Linked DNA regions of Arabidopsis thaliana. The protein of the gene in region 1 interacts with the protein of each later gene in a pairwise test. Each region holds a gene or a part of one and is shown on either strand. Other genes may lie near its edges.

What was found.
Region 2: the proteins of EXLB1 (region 1) and SLP1 interact in a two-hybrid assay, tested with the Arabidopsis thaliana proteins (one large-scale study listed by BioGRID).

Annotation. Positions count from the first base shown.
Region 1 is NC_003075.7:9,581,062-9,586,396, reverse strand, and holds EXLB1 (expansin-like B1), read left to right. Parts: upstream 1-3,106; 5' UTR 3,107-3,215; coding exon 3,216-3,348; intron 3,349-3,694; coding exon 3,695-3,804; intron 3,805-3,935; coding exon 3,936-4,247; intron 4,248-4,382; coding exon 4,383-4,580; 3' UTR 4,581-4,835; downstream 4,836-5,335. Other genes in the region: AT4G17020 (transcription factor-like protein), read left to right, coding at 5,315-5,335.
Region 2 is NC_003070.9:2,146,531-2,163,108, forward strand, and holds SLP1 (Calcineurin-like metallo-phosphoesterase superfamily protein), read left to right. Parts: upstream 1-6,349; 5' UTR 6,350-6,418; coding exon 6,419-6,602; intron 6,603-6,665; coding exon 6,666-6,778; coding exon of another isoform or gene 6,779-6,793; intron 6,794-6,860; coding exon 6,861-6,893; intron 6,894-6,961; coding exon of another isoform or gene 6,962-6,973; coding exon 6,974-7,075; intron 7,076-7,219; coding exon 7,220-7,432; intron 7,433-7,521; coding exon 7,522-7,657; intron 7,658-7,743; coding exon 7,744-7,919; intron 7,920-8,016; coding exon 8,017-8,105; intron 8,106-8,188; coding exon 8,189-8,258; intron 8,259-8,351; coding exon 8,352-8,438; 3' UTR 8,439-8,708; downstream 8,709-16,578. Other genes in the region: AT1G06990 (GDSL-like Lipase/Acylhydrolase superfamily protein), read left to right, coding at 1,863-2,492, 2,620-2,881, 3,289-3,479; EXO70B2 (exocyst subunit exo70 family protein B2), read right to left, coding at 3,868-5,175, 5,284-5,775; AT1G07020 (uncharacterized protein), read right to left, coding at 8,789-9,225, 9,348-9,354; AT1G07025 (Mitochondrial substrate carrier family protein), read right to left, coding at 11,128-11,628; AT1G07030 (Mitochondrial substrate carrier family protein), read right to left, coding at 12,101-12,307, 13,221-13,994; AT1G07040 (plant/protein), read right to left, coding at 14,695-14,793, 14,960-15,114, 15,192-15,355, 15,445-15,566, 15,641-15,856, 15,947-16,099, 16,299-16,505. UniProt on the Arabidopsis thaliana protein: Shows phosphatase activity, hydrolyzing the artificial substrate para-nitrophenylphosphate (pNPP) in vitro.

The DNA.
Region 1 (5,335 bases):
GACATATATTTTGTAATGTAAGTGCTTATAGTGGACTGGTATCTTCTGGTTTTGCATCCCCTTTAGTTCAAATAGTTACTTCCCATTTTCCTCTGTTGCTCTCTTAGGACCCATTTTTTAGTGATATCATTTTCATTGCCCATTACAAGAAACTTCACTATTGATGGCAGACACCTATAAAGGGATTATGCTCCTTCAGACACTAGAACTCATATCATTCGTTGTCTTAAACAAATGATTAAATCTCAAACCTTTGTATTCTTTGATTGTTTGCCTATTAACTCCTACCATTGATAGGTCTTGGTGATTAATAGCAATGATATACTACTTCTTATTCTATTGGCTTCTCCTTTTTAGAGTTTTACTTTGCTACGACATTATCATTATGTTATGACTTATATTTCTATTAGCTTCCTGTTTAAAATTTACTCTGTTATGACATTATCATTTTACTGTGTTTCTAAGGTTGGAGATCTTACCGCTGATCAAATGGGGAATCAGTGAACCATTCACCGGCACAGAACTGAGGTAAAGTCTGGAAAACATGTTAAAAAAGGTTACTAGTAATGCTGCAATTGTAGGGTTATTTGAACAGAAACAAACCCATATGTGTAGGCTTGTGAATGCCTAGAAACAGGATTGGTGTATCTTCAATATATGTTTCTAAGATGAATCAATTTCATATGCTGCTGTGTGTGTGTGTTACAAACCAATATGTTTGTGTTCACATGAAGCAAGAACGTGGTACCGTTTATGGAATTAGATGGAGAATCAATGAGCGATGACATAACGATAAATTGCACCAACCCCATTATCCTGTGATATTCCTTTTTCCTATGAAAAGTCCACACTTGTCATTAAACACGCAATGTTTTGTTGGACTCTACATGTCAACTGTTATAGTGACGTCATCGGTTCCTTACGTGCCGGCGAATACGAGTTCTTCCACTGGAGTAAGAACTAGCCAACCATGATTTAGAGTTAGGGTGTGCATTTATATCATAGCGAAACGTTGACAAGAAAATATGTTCTCTGCATTTCAAACTTAGGCTGATCTAAACCAAGGGTATACAATTTCTGTAACCCGACACCCAAAATATTGAATCAAATACTGATTCATGGTAAGTGCTTAAAAAGTTTAAATTGAGAGAGTCGAATAATTGAAAAGATTACTTTTTATCTTTCAAATTGATATATCTCATGATATTAATTTGAATTTTGGTAAAAGAAACTTTGTTGAAAATGTATTTGTGGTAGCGATAATGAGTTGTATACAAACATCAATTTCAATTGAATCCCATTCAAAAGAATATTATATACTCTCACAAATGGAATATATCTTTTTTCTAGGGAGGTAGGGAACTAGAAATTTCATCAAGTGGATTACAACCAAACCAACAACAAAAAGGTCTAATGAATTCTCTATTTCTATTCATATATACTAGACTTATGGTATCCTTTTGTCTTTCTCTTCTCCTAATCTCAGACTCTCAGTTACATATTAATAAGAAATTTATTTTATTCAAATACAAAAGGTAGGCTGCTGATAATATCCTACCACCCATTGTGTTACTCTTATTGACATCACTAAAATTAAGATATACACATTCAAGATCAACGGTTGCTTACGTGGTGTGTTTTAGTGTTTATCTTAGTTTGAACATCGAAATAATTTATATTGCATGGAATACTTAACTCAATTTATGAATTATAGAAAGTAAAGTTCTATTCTAGTTTGCCATATTATATCTATGCATAGGTTAGTACTAATATATAGCAACTAATGTGTATTTTTTAAGATGTTTTTTCTTTCACGCTTTTTATAGAGAAACACGTTTTTGTTTCACGTTGGAAACAGAATTCATTGGTAATACAACTGGCTTATCAAACACAAAGATCCTTAAATGTAGATACCGGATCCAAACTTGAACAACATGCTATTGAAGAATCTCTCTCGAAAAAATGACCAAAACTTGTTTTTTTATTTTGTTTTTTTCCAAGGAACCAAAAATCTAGGAAAACAAAATGTTAATCCAAACTATTTTCATTTTATATGATATTTACTCAAAAAAGAAAAAGACCAAAACCATGTTTTCTGTCCATATATTGGTTACAACTTGCAAACCCATGTCGTTATGCTATTTTACACAATCTTAATATTACTAAAATGCTAGTAGTGAAAAACAATAAAGGCTTAGTGATTCCAAAAAATAGCACGCTTGGCATATTCTATGAGTTCATTCATCCAATTCACCAAACAACTATCGTAAACCAATCTATTTACTATTAGGTGTCATGAACTTCTCGTTTTGGAGGCACAACCTATCCTTTTTCAAATAAATAATAGTCCCAAAAGCTATAAACCCCACCATTGTCTATTGCATTACATATTTTGGATATTTTATACAAATATCTACAGTAGTTTCAAAATATATAATCAATACAGGATGTCTACAAAGGGTTAGTAGCGATATAGCATCAACCAAAAATAAAGCCATAGCGCTATAATCTTTTTTTGTAGGAATGTAAAATTGTATTCATCCAAAACATGTTTTACAATTGAATGCCACATAGAGAGCTGATAACAGAAAGAAAGAGTGTATACTCCTATAAGAAACTAGAGTATTAGGAATTGATTTTCAGTGTTAAATGCATCTTTTATCTTTTCACTTGAAACTAGTTTGAATTTCGGTATGTGTTATACGGAAATGGAGATTATGCATCTATTGGAACTATGTTACCTCAATCTTCTGAGCTTTACAATGTTCACATACTTAATCTTCTAAAATACTACTATATTGATAATTCGATATCTAATACTCTCCTTAACTAATCTAGACTACAAAAATCAAAGAATAAATTGCGTATAATAAGAATCGACTTTTGAATCTACTGGGTTTATGCCAACCCTAATGCTATATTGGCAGATGTATGATGTAAACATTTAATTTAATACCAAGTTAAACTATATAAAAAAATTGAGTTAGCTTTAAGCTTTTTGCCAAGTGGAAAGTAAAAAATAGTGACGATGCTCGATCAATTGTATAATTGTAATAAGCACTCTAGCTGCAGCTATAAATACCCTACTAAGTCTCTCATCTATCTTCACTATCTTTTGTGATAAGAAATTCTATTATCAATTCCTATCATTTGTTAAGAAAAAGAGTTAGAAGTATTAATAATCTTACAATATTTATAGATAAGATAACAACAATATGAAGCATTCTCACGTTTTGCTTCTTCTATTTGTTCAAGTCATTGTCCTTTTGCCTCTCCTTTGTCTATCCGACGATTTTGTTAACTCTAGAGCTACTTATTATGGCAGCCCCGATTGCAAAGCAAATCCTCGTACGTATTAAAATTGTTATTGCTATATACATCGTGTACCTTAATTCTTTTTCATTTTCTTAGTTGTTGTATAGACTTGTACACGTTATATATTGGTAAAAGATACATTGGTGTAATATCTCACTATAAGCCATAACTAATTATTTTTGTTTTATATCTACGTATAGGTTTCTTGTTTTGTTTTATTTTGAAGGTTTATTCAAATTCTAAATACATATATGATTGAAAACGAGTCCACTAAGTGTCCATTAACTGCGTAATTAGTAATGATAACTTTCCATTATGAGAATATACATAATATTTGTCGAAAGAATAAGAATAATTAATTAATTTTTTGATGATGCAGGGGGACATTGTGGGTATGGAGAATTTGGAAGAGATATCAATAACGGTGAAGTGAGTGGTGTTTCATGGCGACTATGGAACAATGGAACTGGCTGTGGTGCTTGTTACCAGGTTATTATATATAGTTATCTACTTATCTCAATCAATATTTCATCAAATATTATTATAGTATATGCTATGTCATTAATTACTAAACTTATATTATGAAAGAAAAAAAAACTTATTTTATGAATTATAAAAAGGTGAGGTGCAAGATACCACCACACTGCAGTGAGGAAGGAGTATACGTAGTGGCTACGGACTCCGGAGAAGGAGATGGCACGGACTTCATCTTAAGCCCTAAGGCGTACGGACGTATGGCGCGACCCGGCACAGAAAATCAGCTCTACTCCTTCGGTGTAGTCAACGTTGAGTACCAAAGGATCCCTTGCCGATACGCAGGGTATAATCTGGTGTATAAGATCCATGAGAAAAGCTACAATCCTCATTATCTTGCCATCCTTGTCTTGTACGTTGGTGGTGTTAATGACATCCTCGCCGTTGAAGTCTGGCAGGTAAATTTAATCAAAGATGTTGAGAAACTTAGATATATGTTTTTGAGGATCAAAATATATAGTTTACTCTTAGATGATTTTGTGAAACAAAGTTAAACGTTATTATATGGTATGCATGTATATGTATGATTTTAGGAGGATTGCAAAGAGTGGAGACGTATGAGAAGAGTGTTTGGAGCGGTTCATGATTTGCAGAATCCACCTAGAGGCACTCTCACATTGAGGTTCTTAGTCTACGGAAGCGCAGGAATCAATTGGATCCAATCGCCAAACGCTATTCCCGCTGATTGGACTGCCGGAGCCACCTACGACTCCAACATTCTACTTACTTAATTGATTCACTTTTCATCAGTGTGTTTTTATCATATAGTATTTATTATGGTTTCTGTATGCAATGGCTAATATATTTAAATAATGCCCTCTAGGACAATATAATTAATGATGATAATATAAATAATCGTAGTAGATTCATATATAATTTATGTATTGTGTCTCACTAAGAAGATTGTAATGGTTTGTATGAGTTTGATTTTGATGGAATAAATCAGTACTAATCAATTTATCAGATGATGATCAAACGTTTCGTAAGCTTTTTTTGTTTACATTTTGGTCAGTCAAGCATATATCTCTCCCTAATCAACCATTTTCATGAAAACAAATTGGCGCGATTTTTGTTATATAGATAGGCCCATTAGTAGTATTCACAAGGCCCATTAAAACTTAATTTATCTTGGCCATCCTCTTCGATCGATTTCGTCAGTTTTCTTTGATTCTGGGTAGTAAATAATCGGGATCAATTGTAGAAGAGCTCATCGAGAAAAGAGAGAACCTAAACTTTAAATTCAATTCTGTATTGTTCTCAAACTCGAACCCGAAACTTTAAATCCTTCCTTATTTGTTTTCTGGAGTTCTTGTTTAGAACTGTTTTGGATTTGTTTTTTTTGAGGAGATGCTTTAGTTAACTAGGTTTGCTTCGAGCTGATCGCTGTGTGGCATAAACCCTAATTTCGTGGAAACTGTGCTCTTTTAGAACCGGTCCAGTGAGTAAGGGAATCCAATTGGTGAAGATGCCGCAAGTTAAGATCATT
Region 2 (16,578 bases), on another chromosome or scaffold:
TTAACCACTTAATCAAGTTTGCACTATTTAAAAACTTATTTTACAAAGCATTAATTGTCAATTTCTTCCCTCTTTTCTCAATTATCCGAATACATTATTAATCCAGAGAATATGCAAATGTAATTATATAATTGGGGAATATAAGTTATGATAAGTATAACTGGCGTCTTTGGGTTCAAATGTTATTTTGTAGCTCCATTTACAAGCTTCGAATTCTAGCTCCATTTCCTCTCATTCTACAATCTATACGTAAGGAGTATTATTTTGTAGCTCCATTTACAAACTTCGAATACTAGCTCCATTTCATCTCATTCTACAATCTATACGTAAGGAATATGGAAATTAAACATGTCTTTTATAACTGGAAAGTACGTAAGGAATACGAACTCAGTGCTTTCACAATCTCCACATTGGCCTTATGTCTAACAGGGTGATTCAAACTATTTTTGAGAATTTGTATATATAAAAAGTGAGGTATTCCTGTTATTTAACTTTATACAATTATAAGAACTAATCATGATTGAAATTGCTGTCAAATGATTTGAAGCCTATATCATGCTTTTTTAGGATCAATCACTTGAACATTAAGAGTTGGTAAGAAAGTATGAAACATTAATGAATATAAAGTATATAGCATGGTCAACATTTTCACAAGCATTTCATTTTTTAATAACATTCATTATGTTATTAATACTTATTCTCCCAACGCCGAGGAAGATTTCATTTTAGCAACACTTTTTTCTAAAACCAACGGAAATCACTAGTAATTAGTATTATAGTATAGATTATGGGATGAATTGGTGTTTTAGGGGGAACGTACCTGATCGAATAAAGACAAACCAATGCAATAATTAAAATTCTTAGCATAGATATTAGAGATCTTTCCAGCCTACAACACACGTTTGTTTAGATTTTCCCTCGTGTGCAATATCTTTTTGTTTTGGAGCCTAAATGATTTTCGTAATCTTAATTGATCTCCTCCTGCACGAACTTCTATACCAAACTCGTTTCCGTGTTTGGACTTTTTTTGTTTGTTTGGCAGCGTGTTATTACTTAGGAGAATCTAGTTTTTTAAGAGATTCTACCAAGATATATACGTTAACATAACAACCACATAAATATACATTATTGGTGTATAATCTTTTGCATGATCTCGTGGGTTTCCTTCTATGTACATATTTTAACGTTTCAGAAGATAATATGTGCATGCATTAATTCTTTTGGTTGTAACGCTATTATTAATCATTTATCAACTACTGTCTCACTATACAATTACTCGACCATATAATTTCTATCTATTTTTTTTTATGATTGATATAAAAATACTCTTAAATGATTGAATGACAGTATGTCTGTGATTTTTGTAGATGAGTTCGGACAAACATATATTGGAGTCATGGAGTGGGGGTATGAAGAAGAAAGAAGTCACTCTGAATCTCTGATGTTAAAGACTGAAGATGGGTTTTTGTGGCTTAGAAAGTTGAAAGCTGTCAAAAAAGAAAAATAATGAACTTGTGATACATTCATACATATTGCGACAAGATTAATCTAATTAAAAACGAAAGTAAGTAAGAGTTTTAACAAACAACTCTCAAATTCAAAACTCAGGCGTCAGCAAAATTATCTATTTTAAGCTCTAGAAAGAAAAGAAAAAAAGCTCAATACTATGGGCTCTCTATAAAGCCCATTTGATTGGCCCATTAAAACAATGGCCATGAGTTTTTGCCTAAAATGTCAACAGTTCAAGGGGATTATTTTTTATTTTAATATGAGACATACATTACATATAGTACTAGTAGACTCCAATAATCAACCGAGTCGTCCTATAAAGGGAAGAAAGAAAAGAGAGAAGAAGAGACAAAATGTTGATCCATGTAATTATATTCATGATCATAACGACAATGCAATTCTCGACGACATGCCATGCATATGTGATTAACGTGACCAACGTTAACGTATCAATGTTCCCGGCTATTCTTGTATTCGGGGATTCAACAATCGATACCGGCAACAACAACTACATCAAAACCTACATCCGGGCTAATTTCCCTCCTTACGGCTGCAATTTCCCCGGCCACAACGCTACCGGAAGATTCTCTAACGGTAAACTTATTCCGGACTTCATAGCATCTCTTATGGGAATCAAAGACACCGTTCCTCCTTTCCTAGACCCTCACTTGTCTGATTCCGATATCATCACCGGAGTGTGCTTTGCTTCGGCTGGTTCCGGTTACGACAACCTCACAGATCGAGCAACTTCAACTCTATCCGTTGATAAACAGGCGGATATGCTCAGAAGTTACGTGGAGAGGTTGAGCCAGATCGTCGGGGACGAGAAAGCGGCCTCGATAGTCAGCGAGGCTCTGGTGATTGTAAGCTCCGGAACTAACGATTTCAATCTAAATCTCTACGATACTCCTTCTCGTCGTCAGAAGCTTGGCGTTGATGGCTATCAAAGCTTCATTCTCTCGAATGTACACAACTTCGTTCAAGTAAACAATCCTATTAAACCATACATATGGTTTTTAATTATAGAATTATTTTATTTTATTTTAATTTCTTTTCCATATTTTGGTTTCGACAATGTTAATTTTGTGTTGTTGATGTATATTATTATAGGAACTATATGACATTGGATGCCGTAAAATAATGGTGTTGGGTCTACCGCCGGTCGGGTGTTTACCAATTCAGATGACAATGGCTATGCAAAAGCAGAACGAGAGACGATGCATCGACAAACAAAACTCAGATTCACAAGAGTTTAACCAGAAGCTAAAAAACTCCTTGACGGAGATGCAATCCAACCTCACTGGAAGTGTCATCTTCTACGGCGATATCTACGGAGCATTGTTCGACATGGCCACTAATCCTCAAAGATACGGTAACGTTACGTTTCCTTTACTCCCATGCAAATAACGTTTCGCACTAAATCTAGTTTTCCTTGAGTTTTGATCAATTGCATCTCTTTCTAGATTATATTGTATTTGGAAAAAATATATTTGAGGTTGTTATATTGGATCATTTAAAAAAGATATTGCATAAATGCAAAATAAGAAAAAAGAAATCAATCAAACCCAAAGCATAATCCAATTTTCTCCGCACAATTCTCTCATATTAGTATATATCACATACGTGTGAAGTGCATGTATTTTACAGGATTTTTACTGATAATTTTTTTTACAGGTTTTGAAATTATAGTTTGTTATAAGAGAACATTCAAGACTATAAAATATTTCATTTTATTACAAAGCTAAGTAGTTATCAATGTTATTCCTTTGAATGGGACAGGGTTAAAGGAGACGACGAGAGGATGTTGCGGGACTGGAGAAATAGAGTTAGCGTACTTGTGCAATGCTTTAACTCGGATTTGTCCTAACCCTAACCAGTACCTTTTCTGGGACGATATTCATCCTTCCCAAATTGCTTACATAGTCATCAGTCTCAGTCTTGTTGAACAAATTTTCCACGTACTCTCTTGATTTTCATTTTGCTTTCATATATATTAATTAATCTGTAGTCAATCTATAATTATTTCCCTGTGGGTTCACATAATCTTTCGTATTTGCTTAAGCTAGGTTTTACATGTATACTATTATGATATTATACTACTCTATCCTGGTAAGTTGTAACTCTATAGCACAATGCTCGTAAGTCCGTTTTGAAACCCAAACGAATTATATTTTAACCTTAAGGAAATTTCTTACATCAAAAAAGCAATACATGAACAAATCAATGTCGAAAAGGTGATTCCACCGATCCATGAACATTATTCACCCAAGAAAGATAAAAAAACACAGAATGATTCACAATTTTACAAAAAAATTCAATTAATAAGAATTTTTTAATTTCTTTTCATATCTAATTTAATCAACTTGAGCTTTCCTTGAACAACCGTTTGATTATAAACTCCACATCTTCAACAGTATACGGAATAAACGGCTCTCCACGCCTCCCATTAATCTCCGGTGACTCCTTCAATCTTCTGATGAAATTCGAGTACGCCGGAGATACAATTCCGGCAACAGAGCTTCTTAACTCCTCCCTCAATTGCCCATCACTAACAACCCATTGAGATTGCACCTTACACACCTCATCGAACTGTGATTTGAACAATCTTAGGTTCTCTACTAACTTGGGATACGGACCATCGGTCCTAAGCAATCCCACCACTTGGTTCCATGAGCTCCTTCGGTAATTAGAATGGTATTGCCTCAGTTTCGCTGCGTGCTTCACAATCCAATCTTCTCCTAGGACTAAACCTAGCTCGTTATCCTTAGCCTTATCAAGAATATACTTGTCATTGTTCATCATGAACAAGAAACACAAAGACGGATCACGATAAGTTCTTTTCTTGCCTTCCAAGTTACTCTCCAACAACTCCAAAACCCATATGATTTGCACAGACAACGGTCTCGTATCTGATCCGGTTTCATTTCCTGTCTGGTCAAGTATCTGCTCCAACGATTGCCGCGATTTACACGCCGCACGCAGATAATTCATCACGTACCGCGTGATCGGGTGAATCCCACCGCCAGGAAACGCTGTTTTGGGAGGGTCACGTCGGATTAAATTCTCCAGCTCCATAAATATCCCTCTAATCGCTTCTCCTAACCGTTTATGAATCGCGAGCGCCTCATGCCTTAGCGGCGAACAATATCGATCAGAAAATAGCGTTTCCATCTTAGGAATAAGGTCTTGCATCGCTTCGTATAAATCCACAACCTTAAACAAACGTTCAGGTAAACGGCTTCCTAAAGCGATCGCGTCTGCGAAATTCAGAAGCTGTGTTGTGGTTCCGCGACAAACTTCCATGAAAGAAAGATCGGTTACAGAGGAAACAGGAAGATCAGAGAAAACGCGATCGCAGAGAAGACGCTCGCTCGGGAAGAAAACGTGGAATATCAGCGTTACGGCTTTAATCCAACGGTCGATTTCGTCTTCAAGATCTTGCCATGGACTCTCTTGCACTTCCTCCATACTTAGTCCTCTGAGATGTAACCTCGACAAACTCTCCTCTAGAAACTCTCTTCGTCGACTGCTGTACACTCTTGAACACTCTTTTGCAAATCCACCAGCGACCATGCGCACAGCGATCGCGTTTAGATCGCCAATAACGCTAGATTGTAACGCCTCGATCACGATTTTGTAATCAGTGATTGGACGAGCAACGATTACCTATTCAATTGTGAATCACTTAACCACAATATAACCGATAGTAAACCGAATTTTCTAATTCTAATTCCAAAACTAATTTAGTAATAAATTTACAGATGAATTAATTACCCCGTCGCTTGTGTCGTTGTCTTCTTCGCCGGGGAACTCATCGTCCGAGTCAAACGAGTCAGGGGCTCGGTCCATTACAAATCCAAACTCTTCTTGAAGCCTAAACATCACCTGTTGAATCAGCTCATCGGCACGGGATTGACAGACGGCGACGGATTTATCTCCGGCCATGGATCTCAAGTCTCCGGCAATCGCAAGTAGCTCATCAACAGAGTCGAGGAAGGTGCGCGAGTCAACGGGATCAGACCAGATCGGTCGATCTTCCACGATGTAGCTGGAGATCTGTCTCTCTAAAGAGGTGAGGGCTCGGTCAAAGTTGACGTTTGAGCCGCCGCGGGATGGGGTGGGTCGAGGATCTCCGCCGCGGTTTCCGGAAGCGCCATAACCGGAGAGAATCTGTAAGATATCTCCGGCGGCACTTGGATCCTTGCCGAGAGCTCTGGCGATGTCTCTGGCGGCGGCGTAAAGATTCTCGTCACCGGCTTCAGCCATATGATTGGATGGGAATTAATAATGTTCGGGGAAATTACGGAATTGGTGGAATTGGGAGAATAAAGACGAAAATCCATAGACGAAGACTATAATATTGACAAAGTCTTCGGAGATTAAACGCGGGAACCATGTCTGACTTAGTTGTGTGCTTCTGTTTGTATTTTAATGGAATCTGTAATTTCTTAGTGCCACGACCACGACTTTGTCTTCGTTTCGATTTTTCTCTTTTGGTTCTGTCTGGTTTGATGTTTACAGAACGTGAACGCAATTTAACAACCGCGTTGTGCGTTTGGTCATCATGGAAATTGGTTATGGGCCGATGACTTCGTTACGTTGAATTTTCGGCGTCCAGTACACTTGGGCTTTAGATGGCCCAATGGACATATTATTCATTTTTGGGATCGATAAGTTTGATAAGGTTGAGAGGCCCAATTTTTGTCTTTGTGGTTATCTTTTATTTTATTAAAAACAGAAAAACCAAAAATTGAGAGGAAAAACCTCAGCCAGTAGATAGATAAAAGGGATTTGATTACTGAGCATGCAATTGGAGACAAGTCACACAAATTATAGACCAGACGAACACAAATGTTAAGTGATTTCATCAAAGCTCTGGTGGATCATTGCTTCTCCACCACCAATACCAATGGCTTCCCTTTACCTCAATTCCTTACTTCCACTTCCTCCTTCTCACCCCCAGAAACTTTTAGAACCTTCTTCTTCCTCTTTGTTGAGCACTTCTAATGGTAACGAACTTGCTCTGAAGCCGATTGTCATCAATGGAGATCCACCCACTTTCGTCTCTGCTCCTGCTCGTCGTATCGTTGCAGGTTCGCCACCATTAATCTGAAAAGTTTCAATCTTTTTGATAATTTGACAACAAAATTGAGTAGGTTTTGGTTTTGGATATGCACTCACAGTTGGAGACCTTCATGGCGATCTGGGTAAAGCCAGAGACGCACTTCAGTTGGCTGGCGTCTTGAGCTCCGACGGACGAGACCAGTGGGTCGGCCAAGACACCGTATGTACATTATCTCTTAGTGGTTCAGTATCGTGTTAAATGGTTTGCTTGATGATATTATTGACAGTATCTGCTAGAGTTCAACATTACGCATCTTGAGGTTCATTATGATGACTGATTCTTTTGAGTTAAATGCTTATGAGTTGTGAAATCATAATGAAAATACAGGTACTAGTTCAGGTAGGAGATATACTTGATCGCGGTGATGATGAAATCGCAATACTCTCCTTATTGAGGTCACTTGATGATCAGGCCAAGGCTAATGGTGGAGCTGTTTTCCAGGTTTTTGATTGCTATCATACTTGAATTTCATAAGTAAATTTTACACAGAGAAGCTTTTGCACTCTACACATTTTAATTTGCTAGTTCTAGAATGATGATAATTGATAGGACTAACAAAGAGTAACTTCTTGTCACATTTTAAAGGTTAATGGGAACCACGAGACAATGAATGTTGAAGGGGATTTCAGATATGTAGATGCGAGAGCATTTGATGAGTGTACTGATTTTCTTGACTACTTGGAGGACTATGCACAAGACTGGGACAAAGCGTTTAGGAATTGGATTTTTGAGTCAAGACAATGGAAAGAAGATAGGAGGAGTTCTCAAACCTATTGGGATCAATGGAATGTAGTAAAGGTACTTCATTTTGCCTTGTCCTCTCTGAGTTTTCTTAGTTTTTGTATTCGTTGGTTAACCAAAAGTCGGTGGGAAAACCATTAGGACAGAGGCAAAAGGGAGTAATTGCAAGGTCGGTCCTTCTCAGACCAGGTGGTCGTTTAGCATGTGAATTGTCGCGTCACGGAGTTATTCTCCGTGTTAATAACTGGCTCTTCTGCCACGGTGGTCTCCTTCCTCACCATGGTAAGGACAGTCAAATCTATCTCAACATTTCCTCTCGGTGATCTTTTGGATTTGATATATCATATGCTTATAATGTCCTTGCACAGTTGCATACGGCATAGAGAGGATAAACAGAGAAGTCTCTACTTGGATGAGAAGCCCTACTAACTATGAAGACAGTCCTCAGATGCCGTTCATTGCGACTCGAGGATATGACAGTGTAGTCTGGAGCCGACTTTACTCAAGAGAGACTTCTGAGCTTGAGGACTATCAAATTGAACAGGCAAGTAGAATTTTAATCACCAAAATCTCAAAACTGCTAAGACAGATATCATCATCAGCTTGGTTTAATGTGTTTCCTGACTTCTTTTTCTTATCAGGTAAATAAAATTCTTCACGACACTCTTGAAGCTGTAGGTGCCAAAGCGATGGTGGTCGGGCATACTCCCCAGTTATCAGGGGTTAACTGGTACATTTATCAAACTCAACCCCAAAACTTGTAATAGAGAAACTTCACGACAATCTTGAAACATGAGTTTTTGTTGTTGATAGTGAATATGGTTGCGGCATATGGAGAGTTGATGTAGGAATGTCCAGTGGTGTTCTTGACTCTAGACCAGAGGTATCTAGCAATATTGGTTCTTGACTCGTCGCGTTTCATGTCTTTCTTACATAAGTCCACACAGAGATTCTGAAACTGGAATTGTTTCTTCAGGTTCTGGAGATAAGAGGGGACAAAGCTAGAGTAATAAGGAGCAACCGTGACAGACTTCATGAACTTCAGGTTGCAGATTACATTTAAAAAAAAGAACCAGACTCTCATGTTCAAGATTCAAACTTTATCACCGTATTTGTCATCATACACATAATAAAGCATCAGAAGGTTTCAGTCTTTCAGACAAGGTCCAGATGCAGTTGAGCGAGGCCATACTTTGAACTCTATGTACGTATCTATGTATATATGTGTGTGAATCATCAGATACAACATACTATACTCATCAAGTAAAGGTTTTGTATAGCAAAAACACTGGTTAGTGTTACTTAAAGAGTGGTGAAATTCTCTGGTTTTTATATTGAATGTTTAAAAGAAGTCACATTGAACAACATTGAGAAAGATCTTAAACGAAAACAACTATCGAGATTGGAGAAAGCTTATTGAGAAGTGGTTCTCAATCTTCGAAGCTGATCAATCCAACGATCCTCATTAACATCGGAGGCCCAATCAGGAGCCGTTCCAGGGAATGAGATGGCTCGCATTGCCTCCATAACCCTAACGGCATTCTCCTCCACTAACGGCGATCTTCTCCGCCGTTCGTCCTCCTCAAACGCTCTACGGATCTCCGGTCCAGTCTCCGTCTCTGTCTCTTCTTCGCTGTCTGTGTTATCGTTTATACTAATAGAAGAGATTCCTACCTCTGCATCCGGAATCATACAATGGCCGTTAGAGAGACCATCTCCACCGATCGGAAGATAACTGTCTTCTTCATCGTCGTTGGAGTTATATAAATCGACGGCTGAGATCGGTTCGTAATAGTCTTGTGAATCTTCGACGGAATTAGAGTCGGAATCGCTCCCGGCGTTGTTGTTCTCTGCAAATAATGCATCCGGTTAACGAATTAAGCAGATCTCAATTTCCAAAAATCCGAAGAAACAAATGTGTCTTACGGATCCTCATAAGAATTAAACAGAAGAAAAAGGAGAGTAGAAGAACCTTCCATAGACCCTTCGATGGGATCAATCACCTGGAGACGAGAGATGTCGGAGGTTGAACTGAAAAAGACGATGAAGTTGTTGAACTGAAAAAGACGATGAAGTTGTTACACGGATTGAGACGACTGAGTTGACTCGGATTACCAGATCCATATATATATATATATAAGCCCATATTAAAAGATGCCCACTATATGAGGCCCAAACATGAATCAAAGTCAGGACCTTAGTTGCATCGGCTGGAACTTGAAACAGACACAAATTATCCGAGTGTGAGATATCAAATATACGAATTTGACGGAGTTGCGATATTCCAGAAACATCAAAGCTTTTAAAAAAAAAAAGAGATCGGGAGTGTGGCGTTATCAACTGAGAATTCAGAAGGATGCGAAGGACCCAACCTACGCTAAAGCCAATTTTATCACAGCTTAGATGCACCAGCCGGGAATCAAACGTACTATTCTACCACTAGACCACTGGTGCTTATTGTTTAGTTTTTATATTTGTGTAAAACAAATAGAGGAGAACAAATCAAGATAAACAAAGCTTAATTTAAAAACTCGGTAGTTGTTGTGATATCGATTCGCTGTCCCATCCGTTTGATCTTTATCAGGCCGTTCTGAATCGCCGTTGAGGTCCTGAAAGAAAGATTTGGCCGCCTCGTAAGTGGACCAACATATGGCTGTTGCTGATGCATGGATGAACATTCTGGGGAGGCATAAACCCTTCATATTTCACAAAGGATACGAACACATGGCTCAATGAAACCCTAGTGACATGCTGCACATGACCAGATAAGTTATAAGAAGAAGAAGAAGAAGAAGAAGATCATAGGCTATGTCTGGCCTGGTCGATTAGTTAGTTACACACATCTTAAAATCATTTTGTTTATATTTATGCCTTGATTGTCTACTTTTGTTTTTGCTTTTACATTGTGAGCGTGCGTGTGTGTTTTCCTTAAATAATCCTCCAATGAAATGTTCAGATGTGGGTCAATCACCTTAGAAGGGCCCGTCGGCTGAGAAAGCGTCATAGCTACAATACCAAGCGGCCAAGTCAGAGCAACTGCCAATCCACCGGCGGTGGCTCCTGCGGTGGCATGAACCAACCACCAATTCTTCTTTTTCGGTGATATCTCTATCAGTTTCCTCTTGGCTGCCTCCTATGTCACGAAATGAACAGCAGAAGAATACACATATATCCGAATCCCCGTTCTGTAAAAAGTGAAGAACTTGTTAGTGCACCCCTCTATCAGGACAAACCAGAAGGAGTGCTGATTGCTGGAACAAGCTGGAAGCTGTTTCAGAAGACTAAAGTGAAGATCAAGTAATTGATGCTGACGTGGATATGCCGCCAAATGAACGAATGACGTGGAGATCACAACAGGATGAGTTCAGTTTGGAGAGGAGATATTCATGCGAAGATTTGGAGTGATCCAAGATCTCGAACGCTAACCTAGAAGACCAAAGACCTCGATAGTATAAATAGAGGTGCTAAGGTTCTTGTTAGACGGGGCCGTGATTGTGAGTGAAAAGCTAGTGCAACGCTTTTCATTATTAGAGACTAAGGTTTAGTCTGATTGGAATTCTAGAGAGATCAAAGAGTGTGTTCTTGTGATCTGCTCTTGTGTGTTTAAGGAAATCTCAGGTGACAAGCTAAAGTAGTTTAGATCTTGTGTAAAACCAATTAAGGTAGTTGTAAACTTCTTAATCAGATTTCTAATAAAGTGATACTCAGTGGTTCTGAGTTTGGGGAATACGATTCTTGGTTCATCCGGAATTTCAAAACTTACTGATTCCTTCCTCATGAGTCACCCTTTTGGCGCAATCCCAGACGCCTTTGTAGTTACCGAACCCATTTTGGTGCCTCAGCTTCGCCATATCAACAGGAGTTGAAACGGCATAACTCCATACAGCCGTGAAGGCCCAGGAAATCACGTGCACCACGGGGTTGTTTGGATTCCCGGTAGACAAGAAATTCTTGGATACATCGTAGAAGGAGAAATGTACGAATTGAGCGGGTCCCATGGCTCCATGCCTCATATACCATATCCCACGGTACAGAGCCGATGGTCCTTCCGTTTGGATTACCGAACGCAGAGCCTGCCGGATTCCGACATGTCTTTGCGAATACGAACGATGCAGCATACGTTGATCCAAGGTGCGAACAGGAAACATCGTCATGTTCTTAAAGGAACCAGCAACTGAACCTGCAATCATCAACTGCCACAACTGGAGGTCTTGTTCCTTAAATTTTGGTGCCGTTGAATCTTCCACCGCCATGTTGGGAATGTTTGGAGCATTGAAGCTACGACGATACAAAACCTGAAGATTACCTCGCAAAACTCTAACCAGAGAATCTCGGAGACTAGAATTAAAGGCGCAGATTGGAGACAACTCATGTGGATCGTGCTCTACACTTTCTCTAGTTACTTATTTTTCTCCAACTCATGTGAATTAGTCCATGATGCAAAAGGAGTTGAATGTTCCTCCAAAAGCATTTATTTTTCTCCAAATTGTCTAGTACGTGTAAGATATATGTATGCCTCGTTAAGTTATTATTAGAAATTTGGAAGGAACATAGTTTTGTACAACTCTAATCAAAATTTCTCGACGACATTATCATCAACACAAACCTGGAAAATATATAATCTAAAAATGACTTCATAGAAAACCTGAGAAAACTATGTTACAAACAAATAAGAAAAGCAGGATCCTCAAGAGTGTGAAATAGCCTAACCCTTTTGTCTTTTTTTCAGGCAGTGTTTGAATCGACATTGAAGTCTTGAAAGAAAGATTTAACTCCTTCATAAGTGGACCAACAGATTGCTGCTGCAGGAGCATGGAAGAGCATTCTCGGGAGCCATCCCCTTAGAAGTCCTCTGTATCCATCTTTTTTCACTATCGTTCTAAGTACATGGCTAATAGAACTACTAGTGAAGCGGTCACATCCACACACACCCTGCACATTAACACAGATGATTGAGGCCATATTTTACACATTTTATAGCAAAGAAATCATGGACATTGCTCTTAAACTTTATGCTAGGTCAATAAGAGTTTTGCAAAAGATGTCTAAGCTCTATCAAGAAACACTAATATTCCAGATGCACAACTACAAATAGTCAAAAACATTTAAGCGGAGGATATACAAGTAAAAACATTTAAGCGGAGGATATACAAGTACTATGCACTAGAAAGCCTTAACATATCTCGAAATGCTAAAGATTCTACAGCTAGACCTGAAATTATTTGACCCCTCCCCATCTTTCACACCTCATAAGATCACATTTGAAACGAAACAAATTAAAAACTTTTCCTACATTCAATAAATGCTACACTAAGACAGAATTAATGATAGCTCAACCACGAAATGTCATTACCTGAAACCCTTAAACACACTCTACCTCAAACTTACTGGTAAAAACATTGAAACCAAATAACCACTCTTCCTACAACGGTAGCTCTATACTAGTGTCAAACCGTGATGAACATAAAACCGCAACCACAAAATTATGCTGCAGCTCTAGCACATGATTACCATCTGCCAGTAGTCCTGATAGCTCTTTTTACACAAACCACTATTCACAAAATACAACATCTAACCACACAAGGTGAAACAAGTCCATCTAAGAAGCTTTAGACCTTCACATAGACTCGAAATCCAACACAAATGCATCAACTCTCGAGACTAAAAGCATCATTTAAAGAAGCATTCTGCAGCACTACGCACACATAAAAGCATAACACATATACCGTTTACTAGTAACACTAACACCACTGTGTACCTAATCACATCGCCAACATTATTCTAGCCAAAGATGTAGAGATTAGAGACAAAGAGCAACCAATCCTAGAGAGAAGGAATCATTCACCTGACATTGCAACTGCGTCTTGACAACATCAAGCGGCGTAGTCACAGCAGCTGCCAATCCACCAGCAGCAGCTCCAGCGGTAGCGTGAACCAACCAACCTTCCTCATCACTAATTCTATCCGGCGAAAACTCCATCAATCCCTTCTTAGCAGCCTCGTAAGTGGCAAAGTGAACAGCCGTAAACGGCGCGTTCATCAGAACCGTCGTCCTATAAGAAGCATAAAACGCACCAATCCCTTCCTCACGCAAAACCCTCTTAACACAATCCCAGACTCCTTTATAAGTCCCTTCACCCATCTGCAACCTCTGCTTCACCATATCCATGGGAGTGAAAACAGCATCGCTTGATATAGTAGCGAATACGCCGGACATCGCATGCGCGACGGAATTGTTCTGATCCCCGGCGGATAAATACTTCTTCGATACTTCATAGAATGAGAAGTAAACGGCGTGAGCAGGTCCAGCGCCGAGACCCATAGCCCAGATCCCGCGATACAGAGCTGAAGGTCCTTCCTTTTGGATAATCGAACGGAAAGCTTCCCGGATTCCGACGGGTTTTAAGGGACATGGTCGAAGCGCTTGCATATGGGTCTTGATGGTATCGACGGGAAACATCGCCATGTGTTCGACGGAGCCAGCAATCGAACCAGCAATCATAAATTGCCAGAACTTAAGACCATCGTGAGCGATTTCCGGTTTGAAATCCGGTGTCTGAGAAACCTGCCGGAGATCAGGTTCCTGGAATTTGGGTACGGTTGTAGCCTCCGTAGCCATTTAGGGATTGGGGCGTAGATCGGGAGGCACTTGGTACTCGGCGGCGGAGACAAAATCTCGAGTAAAAGTAGGGTTTTTGAGGACTTGTTAAGAGTAAAAAAGACACCAAATCGGAATGTGAATCACCGACGAAGAGAGACGGTGAAGGGGGAATTTGGTGTGGTGGTGGACTACATTATCTCATATCATAGCTTTTGTTTTTATCTGTAGCTTACCAAATCCTCCTCCTTGATGTCGTCAAAGATTTGATCTTTCTTCCACAATTTTTATTTCAGGTGGAAAATTCGAACCGGAACTCTATTGCTATAAATTTCGAGACTTTAATTGGTTGACCTCGTTGACACGTCAGCAAGTTGTTTTTGTTTTTTTTTGTTTTTTTTTGTAAAGCTGATGATGAGAAAGTAAGAGATCATGAACAAAGAAGTTACCAATCGGTAAAACAAGCTCAAATGCAGAACAAGAACAAAACCATACAACATCATTATCGTTTTATGTTTTGTAACTATTCCTGTTATCTTTGTTTACCTCCTTCTCACCACTAGGAAAGTAGTCGGAAATATACACATAAATATATTTGATTAAGAGTTCTTGGATTAGCATCTTTACTGATCAAGATTACAAGCAGTTTTGAGCTTTTTACTCGTTACACATGTACGAGGCATGATTGACATATATCCAAAGCCGTGGCTACTATTTGCTATCACCCGGTTCGTCGGGAAAGCTGCTCCTGAAATGTGCTCTCGAAGATCTTGTCAGCATTTCCGACCTCAAATCCATCACGTCGATGAGACTCTTGTATCTGCGTTTTGTAGGTTTCAGAAATGTCATTCCACAATGTTGGTACACCATCTTTACATTAGTGGTATCTAAGAGGAGTTCTCCAGGCAATGGGAAGGAAAAGATCGCATCGATTCACAGTAACCGGATTCTAAATAAGTTAAGATTCAATCAGAGTGGTTTCTTACCTCGCTTTCGGGTATATTTTGGTACTGCGGAAGTACAAGGCGTTCAGCAAACTCAATGTATGAACAAGGGATAGATTTGGTAACACCATCAGCGAACTTGAAAGATATCGAATCTGCTACAGTTGAGCTTTGCTGCAAACCACCATCAGGGCTAACTGTAAAAGTAGAAAGACAAAGATTAGCTTAGAATCTAATTTCTTTTAAATTGAGTGATAAAGATTAGTAACCATACCTTTAAGGACTCCTCCTTCTGAGTTCAATTTGATACCTTTTTCTTCGAGGAACTGATTGAGCTTCTTGATTTTGTTTAGATGAGATTTAAGCCGATGAACAGAAATCGTGACGTGGTTAAGTGCATATCCATTGACAAGGGTCCATGCTGCGTATTCACTTTCCCTGTTAATCAATTTAACCCAACACACCTTAAGTCAACTACTCTAGCTTGATCTAGCAAAAGAAACAAAGAGACCTAGGATCATATGTACCTAGCCAATTGCTCAAACTCAGAAGATAGAGGCTTTTCCCAAGTTAAAGTACCCAAAGCACTAGAAAGTCCAGCATACTTTTTCCCATTAGGTGATGCTTCCGTGTATTTTCTGATTACATCCTGAAAACAAAAGAAATTGCCTTCAAAGCTCATAACATAATCTAGGGTCAAAACCAATGACAGTATATTATTACCTGAGTCTGTGAACTCATCTGGTCCACCAGGAGCTCTGAGATAAAAACTCTCGGTAAAGGACCGTTAACGCCGCTGCCACCAGGAACAGCAGAAGCATTAGGAGGTGCAAACCACAAAGCTCTAAGCTTTTTGGCCGGAAATTTTAGCTCATCCATCGGTGTATATCCATAGTCAAGGAAAAAGCTTGCAAGCGAGTCAATCCCATAACCACCAATCTAAAACATTTCCATAGACAAATTCCAATAATGAGCAACTTAACATTGTCAAAATGGTTACAACTTTGAAGCAGCCAAAAATGTTTATACCCCAAACGTTCTGAAAGCGAGATGATCATAGCAAAGTTGCTGGTCATCAACAGATCGAACAAGCTCCAAGACGGATTTAGGCGTCGGGTTTCGATTTAGGTAAACAGTTTCCATCTGCCCTAAGACACTCCTGAAGAAAGATTCAGCAGCAACCTGGCCAAGTGTAAAAAACGAGAGACGAGACAATTAGATGATAATGGCAAGTTATCAACTTGAGCAGGCAAATTAATTGCACCCACATGCCAAAGAATCAAAACATCAACAATTGACAAGAACAGAGTTTTCAGATCTTTCATGACCTAAATCAATCGAGGGTATATACACCATACAAGAAATATACAAAAGGACGAACCTTTGAAGACGATCCGCGAGAAACATTGTTTGATGACATCGAGGAGTCTCTTCCAGAGGAAACGACGACGGAGAGATTGCGCTTGCCGACGGAAGGAAGCCGAATAAGAGATCCAGCAGAGAAGGAAACAGAGAGTGTTGATCGTAACGAAGAAGGGAAAGAGCCGTAGAGAGAGGCTTTAATGGCTGATGAGTGGAGTGAGATCATGGTGGAGATAAGGAGGAGATGGTTGGTTTTGTCGCCGGAAAGCTTTTGATAGTGAGAAAGCTCCGATCATGTA